Arabidopsis thaliana: one gene and its partners. The protein of the gene in region 3 interacts with the protein of the main gene of each other region in a pairwise test. Each region holds a gene or a part of one and is shown on either strand. Other genes may lie near its edges. The genes, in order: FASS, LHCA3, AT1G73660 and AT4G17250.

Evidence for each region.
Region 1: the proteins of AT1G73660 (region 3) and FASS interact in a two-hybrid assay, tested with the Arabidopsis thaliana proteins (one study listed by BioGRID).
Region 2: the proteins of AT1G73660 (region 3) and LHCA3 interact in a two-hybrid assay, tested with the Arabidopsis thaliana proteins (one study listed by BioGRID).
Region 4: the proteins of AT1G73660 (region 3) and AT4G17250 interact in a two-hybrid assay, tested with the Arabidopsis thaliana proteins (one study listed by BioGRID).

The regions. Positions count from the first base shown.
Region 1 is NC_003076.8:6,173,201-6,178,920, forward strand, and holds FASS (tonneau 2 (TON2)), read left to right. Parts: upstream 1-1,771; 5' UTR 1,772-1,953; coding exon 1,954-2,095; intron 2,096-2,347; coding exon 2,348-2,439; intron 2,440-2,594; coding exon 2,595-2,657; intron 2,658-2,734; coding exon 2,735-2,833; intron 2,834-2,918; coding exon 2,919-3,077; intron 3,078-3,309; coding exon 3,310-3,381; intron 3,382-3,524; coding exon 3,525-3,657; intron 3,658-3,751; coding exon 3,752-3,816; intron 3,817-3,927; coding exon 3,928-4,003; intron 4,004-4,113; coding exon 4,114-4,215; intron 4,216-4,300; coding exon 4,301-4,493; intron 4,494-4,503; exon of another isoform or gene 4,504-4,767; coding exon 4,768-5,014; 3' UTR 5,015-5,201; downstream 5,202-5,720. Other genes in the region: EMB269 (GTP1/OBG family protein), read right to left, coding at 518-1,623; AT5G18590 (Galactose oxidase/kelch repeat superfamily protein), read right to left, coding at 5,316-5,396, 5,481-5,540, 5,626-5,720. UniProt on the Arabidopsis thaliana protein: Probable regulatory subunit of type 2A protein phosphatase involved in the control of the dynamic organization of the cortical cytoskeleton.
Region 2 is NC_003070.9:22,698,100-22,701,947, reverse strand, and holds LHCA3 (PSI type III chlorophyll a/b-binding protein), read right to left. Parts: upstream 2,056-3,848; 5' UTR 1,797-2,055; coding exon 1,653-1,796; exon of another isoform or gene 1,564-1,652; coding exon 1,502-1,563; exon of another isoform or gene 1,456-1,501; coding exon of another isoform or gene 1,415-1,455; coding exon 799-1,414; 3' UTR 536-798; downstream 1-535. UniProt on the Arabidopsis thaliana protein: The light-harvesting complex (LHC) functions as a light receptor, it captures and delivers excitation energy to photosystems with which it is closely associated, here photosystem I.
Region 3 is NC_003070.9:27,691,350-27,699,067, forward strand, and holds AT1G73660 (protein tyrosine kinase family protein), read right to left. Parts: upstream 6,024-7,718; 5' UTR 5,370-6,023; coding exon 4,809-5,369; intron 4,716-4,808; coding exon 4,275-4,715; intron 4,193-4,274; coding exon 4,089-4,192; intron 3,951-4,088; coding exon 2,788-3,950; intron 2,705-2,787; coding exon 2,664-2,704; intron 2,552-2,663; coding exon 2,483-2,551; intron 2,390-2,482; coding exon 2,289-2,389; intron 2,025-2,288; coding exon 1,946-2,024; intron 1,854-1,945; coding exon 1,755-1,853; intron 1,646-1,754; coding exon 1,577-1,645; intron 1,478-1,576; coding exon 1,428-1,477; intron 1,335-1,427; coding exon 1,158-1,334; intron 1,037-1,157; coding exon 898-1,036; 3' UTR 544-897; downstream 1-543. Other genes in the region: AT1G73655 (FKBP-like peptidyl-prolyl cis-trans isomerase family protein), read right to left, coding at 134-432. UniProt on the Arabidopsis thaliana protein: Acts as a negative regulator of salt tolerance. Mediates sugar response during early seedling development.
Region 4 is NC_003075.7:9,668,827-9,673,993, reverse strand, and holds AT4G17250 (uncharacterized protein), read right to left. Parts: upstream 3,232-5,167; 5' UTR 2,891-3,231; coding exon 665-2,890; 3' UTR 519-664; downstream 1-518. Other genes in the region: AT4G17245 (RING/U-box superfamily protein), read right to left, coding at 4,111-4,611; AT4G17243 (uncharacterized protein), read left to right, coding at 3,939-4,007, 4,665-4,697.

The DNA of each region.
Region 1 (5,720 bases), on a different chromosome or scaffold from region 3:
AAAATATATATATGAACCACATATTACATTTCCTAAAGGCAAACACAGTCTCATAATTCTCCAACAGCATGATAGTGTTGGACTCTAAGAGTACCCAATCCAGTCTATAGATAACCCAGAAACTCATATCCGTTCATAATACTCTAACATACCTCTATCAACATGAGCTTTTCTACTAGCAGAGTCAGCAATGGAAGACTTTCAAAAGTCCTGTACCTGTATCTATATATAAATTCTTGTATAGTGAGCATTACTTACAAGATGAGATTTCCTCTGGAGATTAACCGAGATACTAAACCTAACCCAGATGATCGAATGAAGGAAGCAGGGCTCACATGTAAACATCAAGCTTTACCAAACAAAAGAAATACAAATCAACTGTTCCTAAACCAAAATGAAATTTTTACATCTTTGAACAATCTAGCTTCTGTGATTAGTTTATCCTATCAAAGCTTGTAACCATCATCAACACACTAAACTAAAACCAGCTCAAAAATGAAGAAAAATACACACTTACATTTCAGGACCTTCTTCGCCATTCTCAGCAATCCTAGGAACTTTATTCATCCCCGACTTAAACGAAGCATTCCCTCGTCCACCTCTCCCTCCAGGCAACAACAACGCCCTCTGTCCCGGATGCAACAACTCCAAAAGCACCTCCTTCTCCTCCCCTTCCTCACCCTCCACCTCACTCCCAACCTCTCTAGCCTGTCTAACCACCGTCCCAGGAGCCACTTTCACCACGACATTATCACCTTTAGCTCCACTCTGCATCTTCCCTCTCCCATGTTCCCCACGTCCCGCCCTGAAATGCACACTCTTGCGAAATGGCAACAACGAATTCATAGACCCATCAACCTCTACATACACATTCCCTCCTCTCCCTCCATCTCCACCTGAAGGTCCTCCAAAAGGAACAAACTTTTCTCTCCTAAACGCCACCACACCATTCCCTCCATCTCCGGCTCTAACATATATCTTCGCTCTATCGAAACACCTCATCACAGCCGGAACTCCTTTCTCCTTCACCCCAATTTCATCCTCTTCCTCTTCACCGGAGAAACATAACACTTCTCCATCCTTCAATTCAGACCCTTCACTATCATCTTTCTCCGCATCAGTTTCATCACCATACTCAAACACTTCGTCTTCCCAATCTTCATCATCTTCATCAATTGATCTTGAACTCCCTTCAAACACATCTAATCTTCTGTAATTTCCCCAAATATCATCATCATCATAACTCTTCACCTCCTTTTCTTTCTCTTCTTCCTCAATTTCCCTCAAAGTTTCAATCTTTTCCTCAACCCTCGCGACATTGGACTCAGATAGCTTCACTTCTTCAGAAACTTTTAAATAAGATGAAGACAAAAGAGAGACATCATAGTAATCTTCCCTAGGAGGAAGACGTGTATAAGTAGTGGCTTCGCCGCCGGCATCAGAAACTGGCTGGAGTTTATCACCGCCTCGAGATTTAAGCTCGACTTCGCGTTGAAGCTTCGTTTTTCTAGGGCTTCGGGTTCTTCCCGAGACTTTGTCAGGTTTAGCGAAAATCTTCCTCGTCCTACTGGGTCGGGCTAGAGCTTGAGGAGTGAAGAAACAGTTAATGGATATGGAAGCCATTTGTTTCTCTGATAAATCTTAACGGGACTTTATGTGATATAAACAACATTTTGTACTAAATATTGATTTTTCAAAGTAAAGGGGGTTACAATCAAAAGTAGTATAAAATTGAGGACTTATATAGCAAACAAGGAGAAACTTTTATTACCTTTGAAGTTTGAAGCTTGGATCTCGCAGATTGAGCTCCAGAGAGGGAGAGAGAGAGAAAGGGGGCGCTTTAGGGTTTCTGCAGTTCCTGGTTCAGTCTCACCATTCTATTTAAGGGTTTTAATCTCTCTGCTTCATTTGGTGACTAACATTTATCGTCGAGGGTTGTGACGATCTCCGAGAATGTATAGCGGATCTAGCGATGGTGAGAGTCATGATACATCGACGCAGAGGAAGATCCCACCGGCGTCTTCGATGCTTTGGGTTAGAAATCTACGACGATATATTGGTTCCGGTGCCGGATTAGGATCCGAAGCTCTAATGGGTAATGTTCCTTTTGCCGGTTGTTGCGTTTTGGTTGTTGGGACAGTCTGTAGTTTTTTTATCTTTTAGCTTGTGATGATGTCATAAATTCTGTAAAGTTTGAATCTTTGATCACATTTTAGAGCTCGTTGTGTTTTCAATATGAGTAAAGTTCCTGAATTTACATGTCTATGTATTGAAAGACTATGTTTAACTGTGATAGAGTCTTTGGTTTTGCTTAGTTTGATAAGGGTTTGTGTTCATTGTTTTGTAGAGCTTGAGACGAAGAGAATCTTGCTCGAGATTTTTAAAGAGAAGCAACAGAAAAGCCAAGAAGCAGGCACAATACCGAGTTTCTACAAGAAGGCATGTCCCTTACTCTGTATAAAATGATTGCCTTTGCATTTCAAGGCACTACTCGGTTAAAATATTGCATTGTGTTATACACTTCATAGAAGTTGTTTTTCCTTTTAAGTATTCGTGTTAGGCAATAAAATTTTGTTCCTTTACTCTTGGTTCAGAAACCAGAAGAAGGATCTATTAGTCAAAGGGTCCAGAAGCTTGCAAAGTACCGTTTCTTGAAGGTATTTCGCCTGCTCTTAATTATTCAGAAGAAGTTTAATGTTTTTGCTCACTTCGATATGTTGATTAATTCCCACAGAAACAATCGGATCTTTTGTTAAACGCTGATGATTTGGCTGCTATGTGGGTTTGTTTGAGAGAAAATTGTGTGATTGATGATGCCACTGGTGCTGAAAAGGTACGTGCATCTTTTATAGGATTTTTCTCTGGAGCTGAAACTATGTTAACAATGATGCTGATATTGCGCTGTCTTTTTCATGTAGATGAACTATGAAGACTTCTGTCACATTGCCTCTGTATGCACTGAACAAATCGGTCCCAAATGTCGCCGGTTTTTTAGCCCATCCAATTTCATGAAATTTGAGAAGGATGAGGCTGGGAGGATTGCCATTTTACCGTTTTATCTTTATGTGATGCGCACGGTGAGTATCCTTATGTTTTTATAATGTCATGTCTTTGGGTATCATTTTTGTTCATTGGCTGAATATCATCTGTCGCCATAAGCTAAATATTCTTTGGTACTGTGTTTGAGTGACACCAGCTTTGCTAGTTTTGGATGTTTGTTTTTCAAGTTTTTTTAATTTGGCGTGTCTTTTACTTAAACAACTATAGTTAATACTTGTTTTGATTAATCATATGTTCAACACTATTCAGGTGTCGCTTACACAAGCTAGGATTGATATGAGTGAGCTTGACGAAGACTCTGATGGTTTCCTTCATTCTGATGTAAGTACTCAAGTGGCTCTAAAGCTTTAACTTTAGAATTGGCTCAAGATTCTTTAGGTAGTCGTCCTACCTGCAAATGTCAAATGGTGTTGACTTTTATGTCAAGTTCCTTACAGTTAGTCTACTTGCTGTTGTTATTATAGGAAATGGAGTCCTATATTGGTGGTCTAATCCCTAATCTGGCACAACTGAGAGACATGCCTCCGGCCTTTAATCAAATGTATTGCCGCATAGCTTCACAAAAGTTTTTCTTCTTCTGTGATCCCCATAGGCGAGGTAAGTGAAAGAAAATATTATTATTATTAGGCAATTAGAAATTTCTTTGACCCAGTATTCAATCGCTCGTAAATGTGATATTTTTTGCGTACAGGAAGAGCCTGCATTAAAAAGATACTGCTCAGTAACTGTCTGCAGGAACTAATGGAATTGCATCAGGTAAGTTTAGTTGAAGGATGTATGACATACAGCTTCGTCACCGTATAACTTTCCACTTTCATAAGCTACTTGCTTGTGTTTTCTGATTGTTCCTTGGTTACTCAACGTTAGGAAAGCGAGGAGGAAGTCACAGACACTGAACAGGCAGAAAATTGGTTCTCTTTGACTTCAGCCCAACGCATATGTGGTGGGTGTGCTATTTTGTCTTAATAGCTGCAGAGAACTGGAAACAACTCTCGTTATGTCATATTAAGAACTAAAATGGAGATTGATCTAGAGTTTCTCTTTCTTCTGTAGATATGTTCCTCGCACTTGATAAAGATATGAGTGGATCGCTGTGCAAACAAGAACTTAAAGAATATGCTGATGGGACCCTAACTGAGATTTTCATTGAAAGAGGTAAATTTAAGCCCTTTTGGTGATTGTAGGCTCGTGGTACTGATCGAGACACGCTTAGTATACTAATTCCCCTTTGTTTTTTTAGTGTTCGATGAGCATGTCCGCCGTGGTAAAATCGTGGCAGGCAATTCCCGGGAAATGGACTTTGACAGTTTCCTCGATTTTGTTCTTGCTTTGGAGAACAAAGATACTCCAGAGGGTTTGACGTATTTATTCCGTTGCCTTGATCTCCAAGGGAGAGGCTTTCTCACTACTGCTGATATTCACTCTCTTTTCAGGTAATGAATCTCTATGAAGCGACTGAATCTGTTTGGTTTCTTACTTTTTAGTAAATTTTGTTTGAAACATGGAAGTAAAGAAGGGGAGCATCAAAGAGTTGTGATGTTATCTGATACAATCTTCCTAAATAAACACTCTGCATTTCCTGCTTGCGGAAGCTGAGCTTTGTTCCGCGAGTCTCATATCTGCAAAGACACTAGTGCATATCAAACACACCATTGATGTGTGATAATGCCATTGTCTCTCTTCTGAATTCATCTGTTTAACTTGCAGAGATGTTCACCAGAAATGGATAGAAGGTGGGAACTATGAACTGTGCATAGAAGATGTTCGAGACGAGATCTGGGACATGGTGAAACCGTCTGACCCATTAAAGATCACTCTGGGTGATCTCTTGGGATGTAAACAAGGTGGAACCGTTGCGAGCATGCTTATAGATGTGCGTGGCTTCTGGGCTCATGACAACCGTGAGAACCTTCTTCAAGAAGAAGAAGAACCACCTGAGGAAGAGTCTCAGTGATAATGTTATTTTCTATGTCTACCTAAAAAAAATGCTAAATCATTGAGATCAAAAGTCTCGCACTAGTAAACAGTCTCATCTCATGTGTGTGTATCTTTGTAAGCTTATTAGTTGGTGACGTTTAATGAAATGGCTGTTTATATCGTCACTTGTCTTATTCTACTTGGGATCTGATTTGATTTTTGACATTTCTGAATTCACTTCTATTATACATTACTCCACAACACACATGAATTCAGTCATGTCTCGAGTACTACAAAATGGAAGTCATAAAAGTTATCGTGTTGTCTCTGGTCTGTGTTTAGACATGGAAAGGCTTTCTGGGTGTAGCAGCTCTGTTCTCTAGAGATTGTAATCTTTGCTTCAGATGAAACACTTCAACCTGCGTTCATCTCAAGTTTTTAGAACAATACTACATTTTGAAAATGCAAATTTGAATAGAGTCTATTGATGATTATGATGACACCTGCAACTGGAACGCTCTTGCTCTTTCTCCTGCAAGAACTCCTCTTGTTGAATGCAACTCCTACAAAACCCATAACACAAAACGGTATTAAACTTTAATCCTCAGTCTTTTGAAAACGCTTGTATATCTACTAGGATTATTTTACCTTTTGTGTATCGTCTAGGACAGCTTTGAGGAACGCTACATCATGCTCAAGCCTGACATTGTCGGAGTGAACCATGTTTGACAAACTATTAGCTT
Region 2 (3,848 bases), 5.0 Mb from region 3:
CTTTTAGCTATTTGGATCTTGTGAATGCCAGAAGGGTTTTGATAGAAGGGTTTCAGAAATCGCCAGGATTTTTCAGCATAATGACCTTTGAGACTCCAGCGAACTCATGTGATTAGTACAGTGGATGTGGATCTTTTGGTTTGTGTGTGACGCACGTTCCTCCAAAATTTAAATGCTACAAAGGGTTTATATATCCATTAGGGTTTGCAAGTGTTTTGGATGCTGAAGATTGTTACCAGATTTGTCTCCGCAATTGTTCTTGCTTGGCCTTTGTTTATATCAATGGACTAGGGTTCTTTATGTGGAACCAGGACCTAATGGACGCAGTGCAATTTTCTGCTGGTGGAGAACTTCTTTCCATTCGTCTTGCAAGTTCTGAACTAGGTACGGCTTAAAAGATAACACGAAAGAGCTACTTCTTCAATTATAGTTTTGTCTTCAAATCCATTGATAGTGTTTCTCTTTGATAGCACCAACATGGCTTATTGTTAAATTTGTTTTTGTCTTAAATGTCTAAGGTGGTTTGGGAGATACAGAGTGATAAGATGAGACTACTTTTAAAGCATAACAGGTACAGTATTTCATAACATTCTTTGAATATACTAACCGCTTTGTTTGGTTTGCAAATGCCAACTGTTAATCCTAAAAGTTTTTTCGTTTGGCCATTGACATTGTCATTTCTTACAAAACACGAATATGTTTACACAGGGTGTTACAATACGAAGAAGCCAATGGTAGCGAAAGATGGAAATATTGTACGATACAAGAGACATAAAAACACATGAGATGATGATCACCTCAGTGGAACTTGAGGCTGGTCAAGACGTTGTTGTTGACGGGATCAGCCAAGTGATCAAGCAGGTTCTGATAAGGTCCCACACCGGTCACTAGTCCTTGGATAAAGTAACCGAGGATGGCGAGCATAGCCAGTCTACCGTTCTTGACCTCCTTGAGTTTCAACTCCTTCAGTGACTTCTCATCTTTCCCAAACCCAAGAGGGTTGAAGAAAGGTCCACCGGGGTAAGCCGGGTTACCTGAACCGGCCAAACCCTTCTCTAACCCCAAGAAGTACTGTTTTCCCATAGATCCTGGGTTGTACCAGTCCTGTAACCTCCGGTGCTCAGCGAATCCCATCAGAGCCATCTCGAGAACAAAGAGTGTGTAATTGTCTGCCCAGTAAGTGTATGTCCCTGCTGGTGGAATCACACCGGTTTGGAACCAAGGAAGAGCAGTCTCTGCTGGAATCAGACCAGCCTTTCCTAAAATCTCAGGAGCAATAGCTCCAGCTGCACCCAACATGGCGAACCGTCCGTTGATGATCTCTCCGTATGCTAGCCATCTTGGCTCAATGAATCCTCCAGTACCTTCTGGGTCTGAAAGACCAAGAGGGTCGAATCCATAGTCACCAGGTAAGCTGCAAGAAGAATCAGAACATCTCCAAATTTTGAACATCATGAAGTTCTCAAAACAAATAAAATTCCAAAAGTTGTTTGAACATTACCTGCCATCCAAGTAAGAGAGACTCTGCGATGAAGCAAACCACAATGGTCTGTTGGCTCCTTGCTGAAAAACCAAAACACAAAATCAAGATCAGATTATTCAGTACATAGAGAAAGAGAGAGATCTGTGAAAGAATAGAGACTGTCATGTACCTTGACAGGTGGAGTTGCAGCAGCTTTAACAACAAAGGAACTCTTCTTCTGTGAGGCAGACGCAACTGGTTTTGAGCCAAATATCTGTCTAGCTGTCTGAACAGAGGAGGTAAGTGAAGAAGACACAAGTGCTTGTGCTGCCATTTTCTCTGTTCCTCAACTCTTTTCTTCTGTCACCAAGAGATGATGATGATGATGGTTTGGTTATGGTTTGCAAGGGCTATGTTAGGGTAGAAGAAACAAAGGTTCCAAGTACTTGTGGCTTTCAAATAGCCCAACTGGTTTTGCTCAGATTAGATTAGTATCTGCTTCACCAACTATATCTGTCCACGTGGCAATATAAGTTGGATAAGAGATTATGTTATTCTGTTTTTGCTTATCCGCCACACACGAACAAAAAATCTTTACAAAGATGACTATTGGATACAAAAAATACATATGATTTATATAGATTGAAAATTGGAATGGAGATGCACTTGTGTGGTAGAAAAAAATTTTGAACTATTGATTTACGAAAACATTGGAGAGGCTGATACGGTTAAAAAGCATCCATGGTATTTGTTAAACAAGGTTTCCTTAGCATGAATCAGTTCTCAGTTTCTTTTTATACCCAATCAGTTCAAATTTTGATATAACAATTCAACTGATAATAGAGATAAACAAACCATTAATAGTCTGTCAAATACACCAAAGAAAAATCGTGGTAAAACCGAGTTTTAGGCTTGTAGCAACTCTGGATAGGGCAAAGAGAAAGTACATGAATAAAATAGTACTTAATTACTTATTAACTATGTGATCCTTCATCCTTGGGCATTAAGAAACAATTTGTGATGGAAATTGTAAATATTATATTTTTTTTAAACTATTTGTAGTTTTTAAAATAAAAATCTATAATTCTTTTTGATTAAATTATTTTATTAATCAATTTGTAAGAGTTCTTTTTTGGGTTGTTCTATTAAGGTCCTGTTTGTTTGTCCATTTGGATGAACCATCTCAATGAAGATGAAAATTGTTGTTTGTTTTTCATGTTTAAATAGATCATTTGAATGATTCAGTTGAATGTTTTTTTCTAAACTCATCCAAAAAATAAAAAAAATCTGACTGAGTTTGATTTGTTCATTCTGCTGAAGCTGATTCAGCCAAAATTATAAAATGTCAATAATACCCTAATCTAATATATGGAATTACATCCAAAAACCACATCTCTTCTTCACCCTCTCCTCGACACAAAACACTCAAAATTGAGATTCATAGCCGTCAATGATGCTGATTCTTCGCCGGTGATCTCGCCGTCGCCGATTCTTCACTGGAGACTCGTCGGATCCATCGCCGGAGTGTAGTAGGTTTGTGTTTCTCTCTCTCTCTCTCTCTCTCTCTCCCTCTCTCGCTTCCTCTCTCTCGCTCCATGTCTCTCTCGTTGTTTCTCTTTGTATCCTTGTTGCAATCACTTGTTCTTGGGTTTGATCCACCATGGTTACATTGTTTAATTGTGGGTTTGCTTTACTTTGCTTTGTGTTGCTTTTGATTCTTCGATTAGCTTTAGTTTACGGCTTGTGTTGCTTTGCTTGCTTTGTGTTGCTTTTGAGTCTTCGATTTGCTCTTAAGAGGCTTTGTTGTCTCTACATTAGGAGCAACAGAACCATTTGGTGCTGCCACTTTAGCATCTGCACTTTAGCCCTCTTTAGATTGACCATCCATAGTTACAAACTTCAGCTGCCTCCTTGACGTGTTCAATTGCATCCAAAGTGGAATTGTTTTTGTGTTTATAGGTCTTTTGTATTTTTGATGCAGAAAGCTAGGATCCAGATTGTGTTATCTGATTTGTTTTGAGATACAATGATTGATGATGTTGTGACTCGTGTATAGCTCATTGATAAAAAACTTTGCATTAGTCTCTATTTAGTCTCGAAGAACAAGTTTGGCTCTGAGTTTTGTTGATTGATGATGTTGTGACTCGTGTATAGCTTATAACTGCTTATTTATACGGGAGAATTTCATCTTATAAAAGATTTTTTCTCTTCAGTCCTTGTTTCAGCAAGTTTTGTCTCCAAGTAAGAAAGCTTTGGTTTCTCAGGTACGTCCTCTGTAATTAGTGGTTGCATTTGGCTTTCTGTAGTAGTAGCATGAGTTCGTCTAAGGTTTGAGTTCAAATACTGTAGAAATAGTCAAGAATAATATCTCATGATTGTTCAATAT
Region 3 (7,718 bases):
TCAAGAACAAATAAACTATGAGCTCAAGTCTTTGATTGTATTATCAAATCCCTAATTGCTAACATTCACTTAAATTTTCCATCTTTAGTTCTTAACAAGAGAATAATTCGAAGTCTTGATGAGTAAGAGTAACCTTGTGTTATCCTCTTCCTGAAACACATCGAGTCGTGACTTCTTCATCTGCTCGGAGACAACACCGAAAGCTAAAAACCCAGCCCAGGTAAACCCGGCGCCGATTCCGAACCGTCGCGTCACCGGAGAAGTAATCCAATCCGTCAATTGCTGCTCCTGCAATGTGACCACCGCCGTTGGTTGTGGATTCTCCGTGAATGTGACGCTTAGCGACTGCGATAGAAGACTCTGTTTCGGATGTTGGGATGGAGAGACGAAACGGTGGTGAGAAGGAACCGTCGCAGTGAAGAGAGTCGCCATTGTCAAAGATTTTTCGTAAAAGCAAAGTTTTTTAAAATATTATATTATTTTGATTCATATATCCCAATAATAAAGATCAGCCTTATCTTGTTCGTGTGATGAATAAAGACAGAGCTCAATGATTTTTTTTAATATATGTTTTCGGTCAACGTTTCGACGAGTTTGTCAATTGTTTTTTCTTTCTCTCTTTGTACAGTTTCAATATTGGAAAACAAAATAGAGGAAATTACGCATGAACATGAACATCGCTTGCAAGCAAAGACAACAAAACACACGAGCACAATCCTTCACCTTCTTCAATCGTCATCTTCCATGAATCTTTCTTTTTCACAATTCACAAGCTGTGTCAAACACTGAAGCTGAGGCAAAAAGTAGCAGAGAAGGAACATTTGTAGCTTTTTTTTCCTTCAAACAGATTGAATTCGTCAAAAATGTGTTTGCCACTTTGGTCGTCTTCTTCTGTTATCAATCCTTTTGTTCATGTTCAGTTGGTAATGAAGAGGAACTGGGGACTGGTCTTGGGATGTTGGAACCTGTTACAGGTTTCTGTAGCCGCTTTAGAGACGCCATTATCTCTGCAAAACTTGGCCTTAACTTTGAATCCCTGATAAACACACACAAAGCCATTACATGTGTTAACTGAGACATGGTCAAGTGAAATGATGTTGTTTAAGCACTGCTACTTCATATTGTGGCTGAAACATTGAAAAATAATCTATACTCACGTCTGCCAGCATTTACTGATGAGATCTGCAATTGCTGGATCTACAAAGTCGGGAATGTCAAGACGTCGATGCTGAAACCCAACTGCCCCAACTACTTGCATCGGGTTCATCTTTCCCCACGGTTGTTGTAACGTAAAGAGTTCCCATAAGATCACACCGTAGCTGTAAACATCGCACCTGTTTCACGTATTGTTTTTTCCTGACATTAGGCCTGCTTCTGACAAAAGGGAACAAAATGAATATCTAGTAGCAAAAGATCTAAGAGCATACTTCTCATCAGCAGGTTCGTTTCTTAGCACTTCTGGAGCCATCCATTCAGCCTTTATAAGACCAACACATAATTAGATTAACGAACTGGCAATTACAATAACTGTAAAAAGAGATGATTAAGACAGGGGAGACTATAACTTGCTTCTTACCGTCCCTGCTGTTGACTTTGAAGAGAGGTATGTACTGTGTTTCATCCTAGACAATCCAAAATCACACACCTGATATATATGAAAATCCAGTATTTGTTATGTAAACTTATAGCTGTTACATACGATATAACATTATCCACTTGGTAAGAAACAATAAATTTTATGGAGAGAATCTGACCTTCACGACCCAGTTTTTGTCAACTAGAAGGTTTGGGGACTTAAGATCGCGATGGACAATCATCGGATTACAGCTGTGCAAATAGTTCATTCCACGAGCCTGAATACAAGTAATATGTTACCTCAACACTCTACTGAAAGAATCAAGAAGTTACAAACAGGTGATATAGTAAGAGAAGAAAAGACTAATACAGCATCAAGGGCCATTCTCAGGCGCCTCCTCTCGTCTAATTGGTTATTTGGCCGGTGGATTAACCTATACAAGCTACCTCTGCACAAGTTTGGAAAAAAATATTATAATGTAAAGATCCAAAAACGAAGCACAACCGGATTGAACCTGTTCAAACCATCCAGATTTTAGAACTTAAAGCAAATACTTGAACAACACTCATTGATGCAAAGAAGATTTTGGCATTTAGAGGTCACAAAATAGATAAAAACAGAGGCATGCGCATCATGAATAAGGAGATGGAAATCGTTGTAGCCATGAGAATCATATCAAAGTAACTGAATCTTGCAAAGATCATAGTATTACCTAGGAAGAAACTCTGTAACAATTGAAAGATTCGGTGGGCGAGTCACAGCTCCCATGAAGAGAACAATGTTGGGATGTCTTAGCTTTTTCATGATTCGGACCTTGTATCACAAGAATATATAAGAAGGGTTTGATATAGAACTAATCAACATGGAAAATCAGGTAAAAGAAAAGATTAGAAGAAAGGCTCGTACCTCACTTCTGAATTCCTCCAATGCTTCTCCTGTTAAATCTTGATCAAGGAACTTCTTGACAGCCACTTCCTAAAGTTCAAGAGTTTCGACGATATGGAACTCAAACTAAGGAATTTCTAAACTCTTTTTTCATCGAGTTCAAATTCACAGTATAAATTGGAAAAGCAAATATAATACTCACAGTCCCGTGCCAATCTCCCCGATACACTTCTCCATAAGATCCTGTATCAAAAGAAGTAAAGTAGTTAATTATTTGAAGATGTAGTTACACCAAAGCAGATAACAGATGATGATAAGTCAGGTACCAAGTCCAATACGTTCTCCCACAGTAATTTCTTCCCACAAAATCTCACAGTCAGATACATCATCACAGTCTGACTTAGAACTTTCATTGCCAATAGATTTGTCAGATATTCTTTCCCCTCCTGAATTTGGCCCATGATTAGAGTCCCCACTACCTTGAGGCTCATGCCCACCAGAACCATCATCCCCGTCGCTATTCGAGCCTAATTCAAGTTGCCTGGACACGGCTGCAGCTGTTGCCACAACTGCAGCAGCAGTGGCCGTGGCAGCAGCTGCAGCAGGAAGTTCTATGGGGGAGGAGTCTGAGTTTGCAGACTTGGCAGCAGCAGCAGCAACCATGGAAGATGCAACAACAGCAGCTGCAGCTACAGCAGCAGGGACGGTTCTGGCATATTCTGTCGAAGATGCTTCAGAATGTGAAGAATCAGACTGACTTACAACTTTGCCATTATCACGTTGATCATGTGCATTTGTTTTAGATTGCACTCTTGGTAATGGAGGCAAAAACCTCACTGGACCAAAACCGTTTTGGTGTCTTCCTTCCTGAGTTGTCTCTAAATCTTTTCCTCTCTCTTTCTTGGCTTCAGTCGAGTTTTTGCTTTCAACAGTTGCCTCCAATTGCTGGGGATAGACTTCGGAAAATAAATTGGGAGGAGCTACAACTCCGCTTTCAAGTAATACATCATGAAGCTTCTGAGCTAACCGTGGATTCTCTTTAGCAGCATCAATCATATATTGTGAAACATCTTTGACTTTCATCCTTTGTGCAGCTGGGGAGCTAACCCCTTCAGTCCAAGAAGGTGATCTCATATGGGTGAAAGAATGAATAGGCCTGCTAGACAGATTTTGAAATGGAGCCTTTTCAACTTTCTTCTGATTTTTCACATCTTCTCTAGAAATATTTGGATGAACAATGAGATCGCCTCCACCTCCGGATTGGTTTCTCTCCCCAGAACTCTTGGTACTAGAACGATGTTCCCCTGTTCGAAACTCTGTATTCTCTTCATATGAGCTTTCAATACCATTGCTGGAAGAAGCTACATGAATTGAATCATTGTCTCCAGGACTAGCGGAATAGGCAGATTCATCATAGTCTATTTGTAGTCCAGCTGCATCAGCTGGAATAAGCGTGCCGGGATCTCCCATAAGATCAACAATGTACTCCCTGAAATTCACAATTGAATAGCATATAACAAAGTTTCTTTCTTTAAGCCTCAATATTAGCTTCAGGAGGTGCAGATTAGATAACAATATACATGAATGATAGACAAATATTGAATCTACACATTAATGTGATGATTACCTGCCATCATCAGCCTTAATAAAGTTCATTGCCACATCTTCAGAACCGGTATATTGCTGACCTTTGACTATTCGACAAGGAACACCAACACTATCACACAATACCTACAAAGTTTCATATAAAGAAAGAACCATAAGAAATGAAATAAACTTAAAAGTGCTGAGATTCAGAAGAAAAAGTGCATACTTTGAATAACAAGGCTCGGTGACGAGCCAAACCAATAGTCAGAGAACCAAGTGGCAAAACCATGCTTCCAAGAGTTGCTTTCAAACTATAGCTAAGACTCCTCCAAGCTCTCAACATGCTCTCTGGGTGCACGACTGGTCCACCCATGTAATCTCCCACTAAAATAGCCAGTTTCCTTACCAATTCACTATTCACAAAACCAGAGGAAGAAACTGATCTTGATTTAGCAGCAATATCAAGAGCCATCTGTTCAAGTCTCAACAGATTAGAATCCCCACTTCTGTTCACAAGAACAGCTTCCCATGTCACACCGTCTGAAACAGGTGTCCCTTGAAGATCGAGCAAAGGAGGTATTCTTTCTGCTGAGGATGCATTCAACACTCCATACAAGTCATAAAAACCATCCAAGATCTTGTCATCATAGCCAAGACAATTGTAATTCTGTGAATGCAACAATACCAAAATGAAATGAGTTCTTGGGAGTAACTAAAGAGTTTCTGTTATGCAGAGAAAACAATTGAATCAAAAGCTTACCCAGTAGCGATAAGCGATGAGTTCAGCTGGAGAGTTCTCAGGAGCACAAGAGCCTAAACTGAATTGCTTAATAGCCTCAATCTGAGTAGCCTCAGGATCTTCTCTAGCACTTAACTCTAAAGCCAACTGTATCTGATTCTCTTCTTCAACAGCTGGATCTTTGGAACCTAAATCCACATGTTCTGACCCATTAACAACAACAGTGTCATCAACCGTGGCGGCTCTGTTCTTGGCATTGAAAGAATTAGGAGGACTAGGGATTTTTCTATGACCAACAGAACTTAACCAATTAGATAAACCAGAAAAAGGTTTGATTTCAGGGCTATTGCTGTGATGAGACCTCGGTGATGATGATGATGATACATCGATAGACTTATGATGATTGCTCTTAGTTGTTGAAATTGATCCTTCAGCTTCATCTGATTGATTGGGCGAGATATGAAGTTTCTTAAGAAAGTTCTTCATGTTCATCTTCATACTCCAAATGCTAGAACAATGATCAACAGGTCTTAAAACCACTCCATCTCCCAAATTCTTCAAAGTTTCTTCTTTTACTTTCATAAACCCTAATTCCTCCCCGGAATTTAAATCAAAAGTTTGAAACTTTCACCGGAATTCACGAAGACCAATCAAAAAGAACAAAGATTTCAACTTTATTGGACTTCAAAAGGCAAAAACTTGAGACAGCAAAATTTGTAGAGAGCTTGAGCTCAAAACACACAGAATTTTTTTTTTTTTTTTGATAAATCACCAAAATGGTTAAAAGCACACACCCACTCAAATGCAGAATTTAAAGAAAAAAAGCATATGACTGACAATTTTCTCCGTACTGATATGAACCGCTAATTCTCCTCCTTCAACCAACTTGAATATGTATCTCTCTATCTATCTCTGACGCCACTTTCTCTGTCTAAAAAGTTGGACAAAGAAAGAAGTGGAGAGAGTGGCTCTTCTCTAGAAGAAAATTAAAGTTTGCATTTTTGATAATTGAGGAGGAGAGTTACTTACTGTGACATGCAAAACAAAACAGAACAAGAAAAAAGGCGTATCTTTTTCACTAAGCTTAGTGCGTGAACTTGAAAAGATGATGACGAAACATAATTAAATTGCACCAAGACAGACTTAACGTCAATTGAGGCATTTAAAACGGTTACTTTTTGTTTCTATAAACAGCATAGAATCTACATCAATTTATTCATTACTATGTCAAAAAAGAAAATTCTGAGAAAACTGTGAGATACATTTTTTGTCCTTAATTCACTAATATATAAATAAAAATACTTACGGGAATGTTTTCTTTAAAATTTTGCATTAGAACAATAAAAAAACTATCCAAAGTGGTTTAAAGCAATTTCTTTGATTCATTTTAAACGCTAGCAACCGCAAACTCAACATTTGCATATGGTAGTAGGAGAACCAATCAAGTTCTAAATCAATTTTCATTTTTCGATCAAATATATCAAAAGTCTTTTTGGTCATATAATTAAAACTGTATTTTTATTTTTTTTAATAAATAGTATAGCGTTTCGATCTTTTATACTTGTATCTCTTTTGGGAATAAAAGAAGAATAGCAATTGTCACGGCAATTAAGGACCATTAACTTTTTATATTTTGAGAATGACTAGAAATAGCTTAAGGTGTCAATTCTAAAGAAAAGACAAATGAGAATTTAACTGAATATTCACTTGAAAAGCACGTGGTTAATTGTATATTGCAGTGTCCGGTGAATCTTACTAAGATAGAGCTCAATTAATTAACGAGTTAGATAATTAGTACTCCGTTATCTTGCTTTTGATGAAACTCTATTTTCGTGAAGAGACACCGTTATCTCTTCGATCATTCAACATATCTATCACTATATACATATGTAATTAATTAGTTTATATAGTGGTTACGACTTACAACTTACAATAGAGATAGCTATGTATGTCATATATGCACAAAATATATGAGTTTATTATAGTATATGATTAATGTCAAAATATGGACAACCACACGTATGCATGTATGATTTATGTAATAGGTAATCATTGTATCTTCTTTGAACTTATTAAATGGTGTGAGCTATGAGCCAATAGTTGACCAACACGAATATTTATGATTTTTCCAGTGATCAACTCTATAGTGTCCACACGATTGTGAGGTTCAGAAACCATCAGGTAATTTTTTTTTAATGTATCATTAATTAAGGTAACTCTTTATGTGTCTTGGAAATTGTTTTCCACCATAGAAGATGATTATTTGTTGAAATAATTTATACGTAATTTTTTTTAAAAATTAAACTTTACATTTTAATTTTTATATACTGGAATGATAAATACGGTAAAAAACAAAAATATACTATTACCGTGGTTTTCATATTCATCCCCCCCCCCATTCGACTTAAATATGTTATCTACTTTTCCAACTATGACACTTCTCAAAAATCTATTTTATAGTATAAAGGATCTGTATTCCATAAAATAAAACAAGAAAAAAGGAAAACGATTGGAGGTTTTAAGTGCTCAAGGGTAGTTGGCTAACAATTCAATTTTGGGCGGCTTGAGATTTGTCCGAAAACATAAGAAAAGATTTTTGATTTGGAATAAATCTTATAGTAACATTAAAACATACAAAAAAAAAAAAAAAAGTAAATGGGGCTTGAGTTTTGTCCGAAAACATAAGAAAATATTTTTGATTTGGTATAAATCTTAGTAACATTTAAACAAACAAAAAAAGAAGAAGTGAATGGAGAGTTTCTATTTACTACACGTTATGTTTGGTTTAAGCCAATAAAAAAAAGCGTTTACGTAACCATAAAACATAGCGTGTGTGATTTTGCTCAGAAAAGAAGAGTTTAATAGGCCAAAGCAGCAAGATTAAAAGTTAAAAGTTAAAACCGTAAAAGAACATTCGTTTCTCCCGGGAGG
Region 4 (5,167 bases), on a different chromosome or scaffold from region 3:
CTGTGACCGTGTGAGTGGGAAGTGTACATTTTATAGGCAGAAATGACAAATATCAGTGCTTCACTTTTTTGGTTTTTACATGTTTGTCCTTTTATTTCGAAATTTTAAAATGTAATGATTATTTATTGACATTTGAACCTTTGATTTGTACTAAAAATTGACAACTTGTTTGGTCCGAATCTAATTTTAAACATGTTTTGGTCGGAGACAGGAAGCAGCACACAGTTTTATCAAATTGTTCCCCTCAAGATGGTTTTACCATTTAGCAATAATAAGAAATCTTCAAACTTCAATAATGGTTAAAAAATAATACTCTAGAAATCAGAGAAGCAGCTTTTGTTGATAACATGGCATGGTTAAATTATTACTTGCATTGGTCTTGAGACGTTATTGCAAATTTCCAGAAGAATGGATCAATGTTTTGGAAGAGTAGCTTTGCCTTGTCAACAAAGCAAACTTGACGACTTTGATAGTTTGACTAGTGCATCAACCGACAAAGGAAACTTATTATTGGTAAACTGGGTTTTAAAAACTAATAAACTCTTTAGACTTGGCATCAAGTGTTAATAGTTAGATCAACCGACAAAGAAAGGATTTTATTTGCTAATTAGGTTTTATCATGTACAAAACGTAATTAATTCTTTAAATGTGACAAGAAAATGTGTTATTCTAGGTTGATAATGAGTTCACGGGTCGTACACTGGGACGAAGGATGAGTGAAAGTGATGGATTTATTGGTCCTATAAAACTCTCTCCATTCATCAATCTTTGCCACTTTGTGATGAGACAAAGCAGGCATGCATCTCCTGTCTACGATCTCAAGTATCTTCTCTGTTCTCCCCAAATGCATTGCCGCTTCTCTCACCGACGCTTCCCTCACTTCCACTGCTGTAACCAAACACTTCATTCCAATAACTTGTGCCGTGTTGCAAAAGCATCCTGATACTATGTCCGATACCATCTTTTCCACATCTTTCAACAGAGTCTCCTCTGTTTCAATGTTTCTTGATTCGTACTTCATCAAAAGGGTTTGGCTGATTCGGTACATTGAGTTTGCTGCTTGAGTCTTGATGGGCCAGTGCGAGGGCTTATGCTTCATGCATAGTATCCGATTTTTCTCCCATGACTCTGTAAACTCTTTTTGTGCTATATCTACCAGCTCTTTAAGAACTTCCTGTGGTGTTTTGCTATGTTGCTTGGATAGTTTTCGAAGATCCACGTTGAGCCATTTATGGTAGAGATCAACTCCTAACCAAACAACTTCTGCAGCTTTCCTGCTGTTAGCTAACTCTCCTTCGATGTCTAAGACCTCTTCGAACTTGTTGACATAGACCAATGCCTCGTTTACAGCTTTCACTAACTTCTTGAGCGAGCAAGGCTTGATGTTAGGAAGAGCGACAGCGATACTCGTCAGTGTTACCAATGGAAGGGCCCAACTATTAGGTGGCTCTCCAGAGGCCAGAGAAGAAACCTCGTCGCTGTCAAAATCTCGAATCCCTTCAAATCCTTTTGAGATGAAAGTTGTTGCCTCCAAGAGCTCTATCAAGTTTACAGGTTGTTTCTTCCGACCCTTTTGTATCAAGTGGTCTGTGGCCACACGGTTGCTACGTGCCATGTAGTCCACCATCTCCTCCTCTCCTTCAAGATGCAGAACGAATTGTCTGGTTGATGGATTTGAACCGGAGGACTCAGCGTTTGCAACAGAATCACTTTTGAAGGTGAAATGAAAACAACATAGCAAGATTCTACTCGAACAATAGACCGTGATGAAACGGAGAAACTTGCTAGCCAGCACTATACCATACTGTGTTGCAATGCAGATATCAAGCATCAACCGGTTTAAGTCGTGTGCAAGCTTCCTGCTGCAGCGACCATGGAGCATCCAAAAGTTCAAGGGACGTTCTTTCTTCTCAGCGAGACACTCTACCCAATAACTCTCTACTCTTAACTCATCTTTCAAAGATTTCTTGTTTCTAAATGGACACCTAAAGTTCACTGCCTTGAGCCATCTGCTCGCTGGAGCAACGGTTCCTATGGCCACTGCAGCTGTCTGGGAGACTAGAACCAAAGTGGTTGACCATTTGTAATCAGAATCTCCATTGCAGAACCCTAGTGACCGGGGTTGAAGAAAGTAAGACCGGACCATGGCTTCAGCCAATGTGATTGCAATCAAGAAACAGAGGAAACCAGTGGTGGTGCAAGTAACAGAGCGAGCCATCACAAACTGAGGGCTAGAAGTGTGAGCCATCATCCAGAATTTCATCAGATCTTCTTTAAGCTTAGGAACCCCTCTTCTTCTCTCTGTATACGAAGGACACTGCTTCAAAGCAAACTCGTATCTCTTCTTGTACTTGAGCTCCAAGAAACGCTTTGTGGCTGGGACAGTGATAGCAGAGAAACTCAAGATCATAAACATCAAAAGCATGAGAATAATGACCAGAGCGTGTTCTTGAGGGAACACATATATAGCTCCTGTACCCAATTGGATACAGATGTTAACAACATCGGTGATGACTAGAATCCCAAGAGCCGTGAGGTTCATGAGGAGATCTTGCGTGACCATGTAACCAAGAGAAGGCATGGAATTAGCCATCACGGTGCATACGAAGACGCTGCTGCTGAGTTTAGCAAGCTGATCTTGGCGACTAGGCATAGAAGTGTTGAGATCCAATGAGAGTTTGACGCATACAGAGATAAAGGTGAGAGTGGTAGCGTTGAGAGAGAAGAATTTGCAAGGAAACCAGAACTTACGGTGCCGGAAGCCGTGAAGAAGATCGGAAAACATAGCAACTCCACAGATCAGTGAAGCTGCAGCGACATATACACCTATGGATGGCAACGGCTTGCTGAACTCTGTGTCGCTTAGATTTCCATGTGAGTCGCAACCCATCACTAGATTTGTCTCACTCTCTCGATTCTTCTATTTCTTCGTCTTCTTCTATGGAGAGAGAGAGCGACAGAGTCGTGTCTTGATGTTATAAAATTGTTCAGAATCTTCAAAGAAGTTACTAGCTCTGTCCAGTGTCCACTCAAAGTCATAAGCTTTGACTTGTCTCTAGTTAGACTCGTTCAAAAACGAACTGTTGGTTGCGTTCACACATTAACACAGCTCTAATCTAATAACAAGGCTCTTTCTTTCTACTTACGTGTTCGTCTCTCCACTACACGATCCTACTCCTACCCTCATAACAAATAATCTACAACAGTCTATTTTTTTGTCAACAACTAACATGAACAAGTCGCATTACAAGATAACCCTTTAATTTTTTTTTGTGAATAGTAACATCTCCTACCTTTTGTCACCTTAAATATCATTACCCTGAACTTTTTGTCCAGAACTCTCAGTAACTTTTTCTAAAAATAGTTTTTTAACATAACTCACGATGTGCATCATTAGGCTATCTAGAACAATGTAGTACATACGAGGAGATATTGCATGGCTTTGACCTTTGAGACCAGATCAAAGTTGTTCAATCATCTTCTCCTCTAACTTCATCGCTTGATTGTGTTTTGAGCTTGAACATGTCAGCAACCTGAAAATATGCAGCGAGCATAGTCTTGCCTTTCCAGTATTGCATCCATGACTCTGGTTAGGGGGTCTAGGAATTCATTGAAGAACTTTGCACGCACTTGGAATTTTCTCCTACTGCTAGCTAGAATCATTCCATGCCAATGGGCAATGGAGTTAATGCTCGTAATGTGAGTCGTCGTCATTCCACTTCTATTTTTTTTTCTCATCCTCTATATTTATCCATTATCTTATCTAGTAACAACTCTTTTCTTTATCTTATCCAACAAGTGGGAACGTACCTAACACCAGTCAAGACCTCATATATCTTGAACTCCGACATTAAATAAAGCCTTTGGTCCCTCTATATTATGAGGTATTGTTATTGCTTCGTTACACATTGGTCTTTGTTTGTTATACGTTGTAAATGATGATTCACAAAAGTGACTTCATATCAATTTTAGACTGTGCAAATTTCATGGAATATAAAAGGAGAAAGGTAAAAAATAAACTAACTTGTAAAACATGATAGTGGTGTGAAGTTGTAAAGAAAATAAAGATAAAAAAAAAGTGGGCAAGACCAGGAACTAGCTACCATCTGACTAAGGTGTACTCGTTAGTGGTAAGCTTTGTGAGTGAAGTTGAGGTGGGGAGGAGAAGATGTTTGTCCGGCAAGTGGGACAAGAAGAATGGGATGAGGAGAGCCACTTCTGGATGCAATAAACGTGGAATCCATGTTTGCATCTCTCCAACACGCGTAAGGTGTCACCGTCTTGGAATTCAGACAAACAAATGATGCACTCTGCTTCATTGCCTGCTAGGTTTAGGCCCGGGGAGTAGACAAGTGTCGGGGGAGCGTCTGGATGGGTGGCCTCAAGGTCCGGGTCGGGCTTAGGGACATGTTGGAGGACTGGACGGAGGCAACAACGGATAGCAGCGTGGAGAGAGAGGACGCATATGAAAGAACAGAAGAGGATGATGAGAAGGAGGAACGCGTTGGCAGCAAAGTCATTGGAATGAGAGTAAGGCTTCCAGCCGCAACTATGAGAGGTACATGTAGACGTAAGTTCGGGTTGGGGATCAGATGATAGCAGCAGCCGCATTGGAACTCAGACAAGTTCCCAAAAACCTTTCATGTCTTGTTGTGTTTATAAAGAAAGAACAAAAGAGAGCATTAAAGAGAAGATGACAGACACCAAATGGTGGCTTAATTTGGTCTTACTTGTGATGAAGGAGACGTGGATGGGTCGAGAGAAAGGGACCACTTGAGTTATGAAGATGGATTGGTGGTGAACAGATACATCTGTCCATTTCCCATTCTTGTAGACCAGATTCTTCATGATAATGCTTTCCCCTCCTGCCAAGGCAACTCTACAGTTCCCTTTTTTCTTTAAATTTTAAATGCTCATTTAGTTTCTATCTTATCCTAAACAATTGTCTTCGACGATATTGTGAGAGTTAAAGATTTGAACTTCTCATACACATGCATACTAGTCCAGTTACGTGTTCTATTCACATTACAACTCTTATTAACTGATATAATTCCTTACTACTACTCTTCCATTTCCTTTTCTACCAATGACAATTCAGCGTTTCATGTATGTAAGGGCTTAGTGTACGGTTATTAGGCTTTGGGTTCTACAATATGGACCAAAGCCA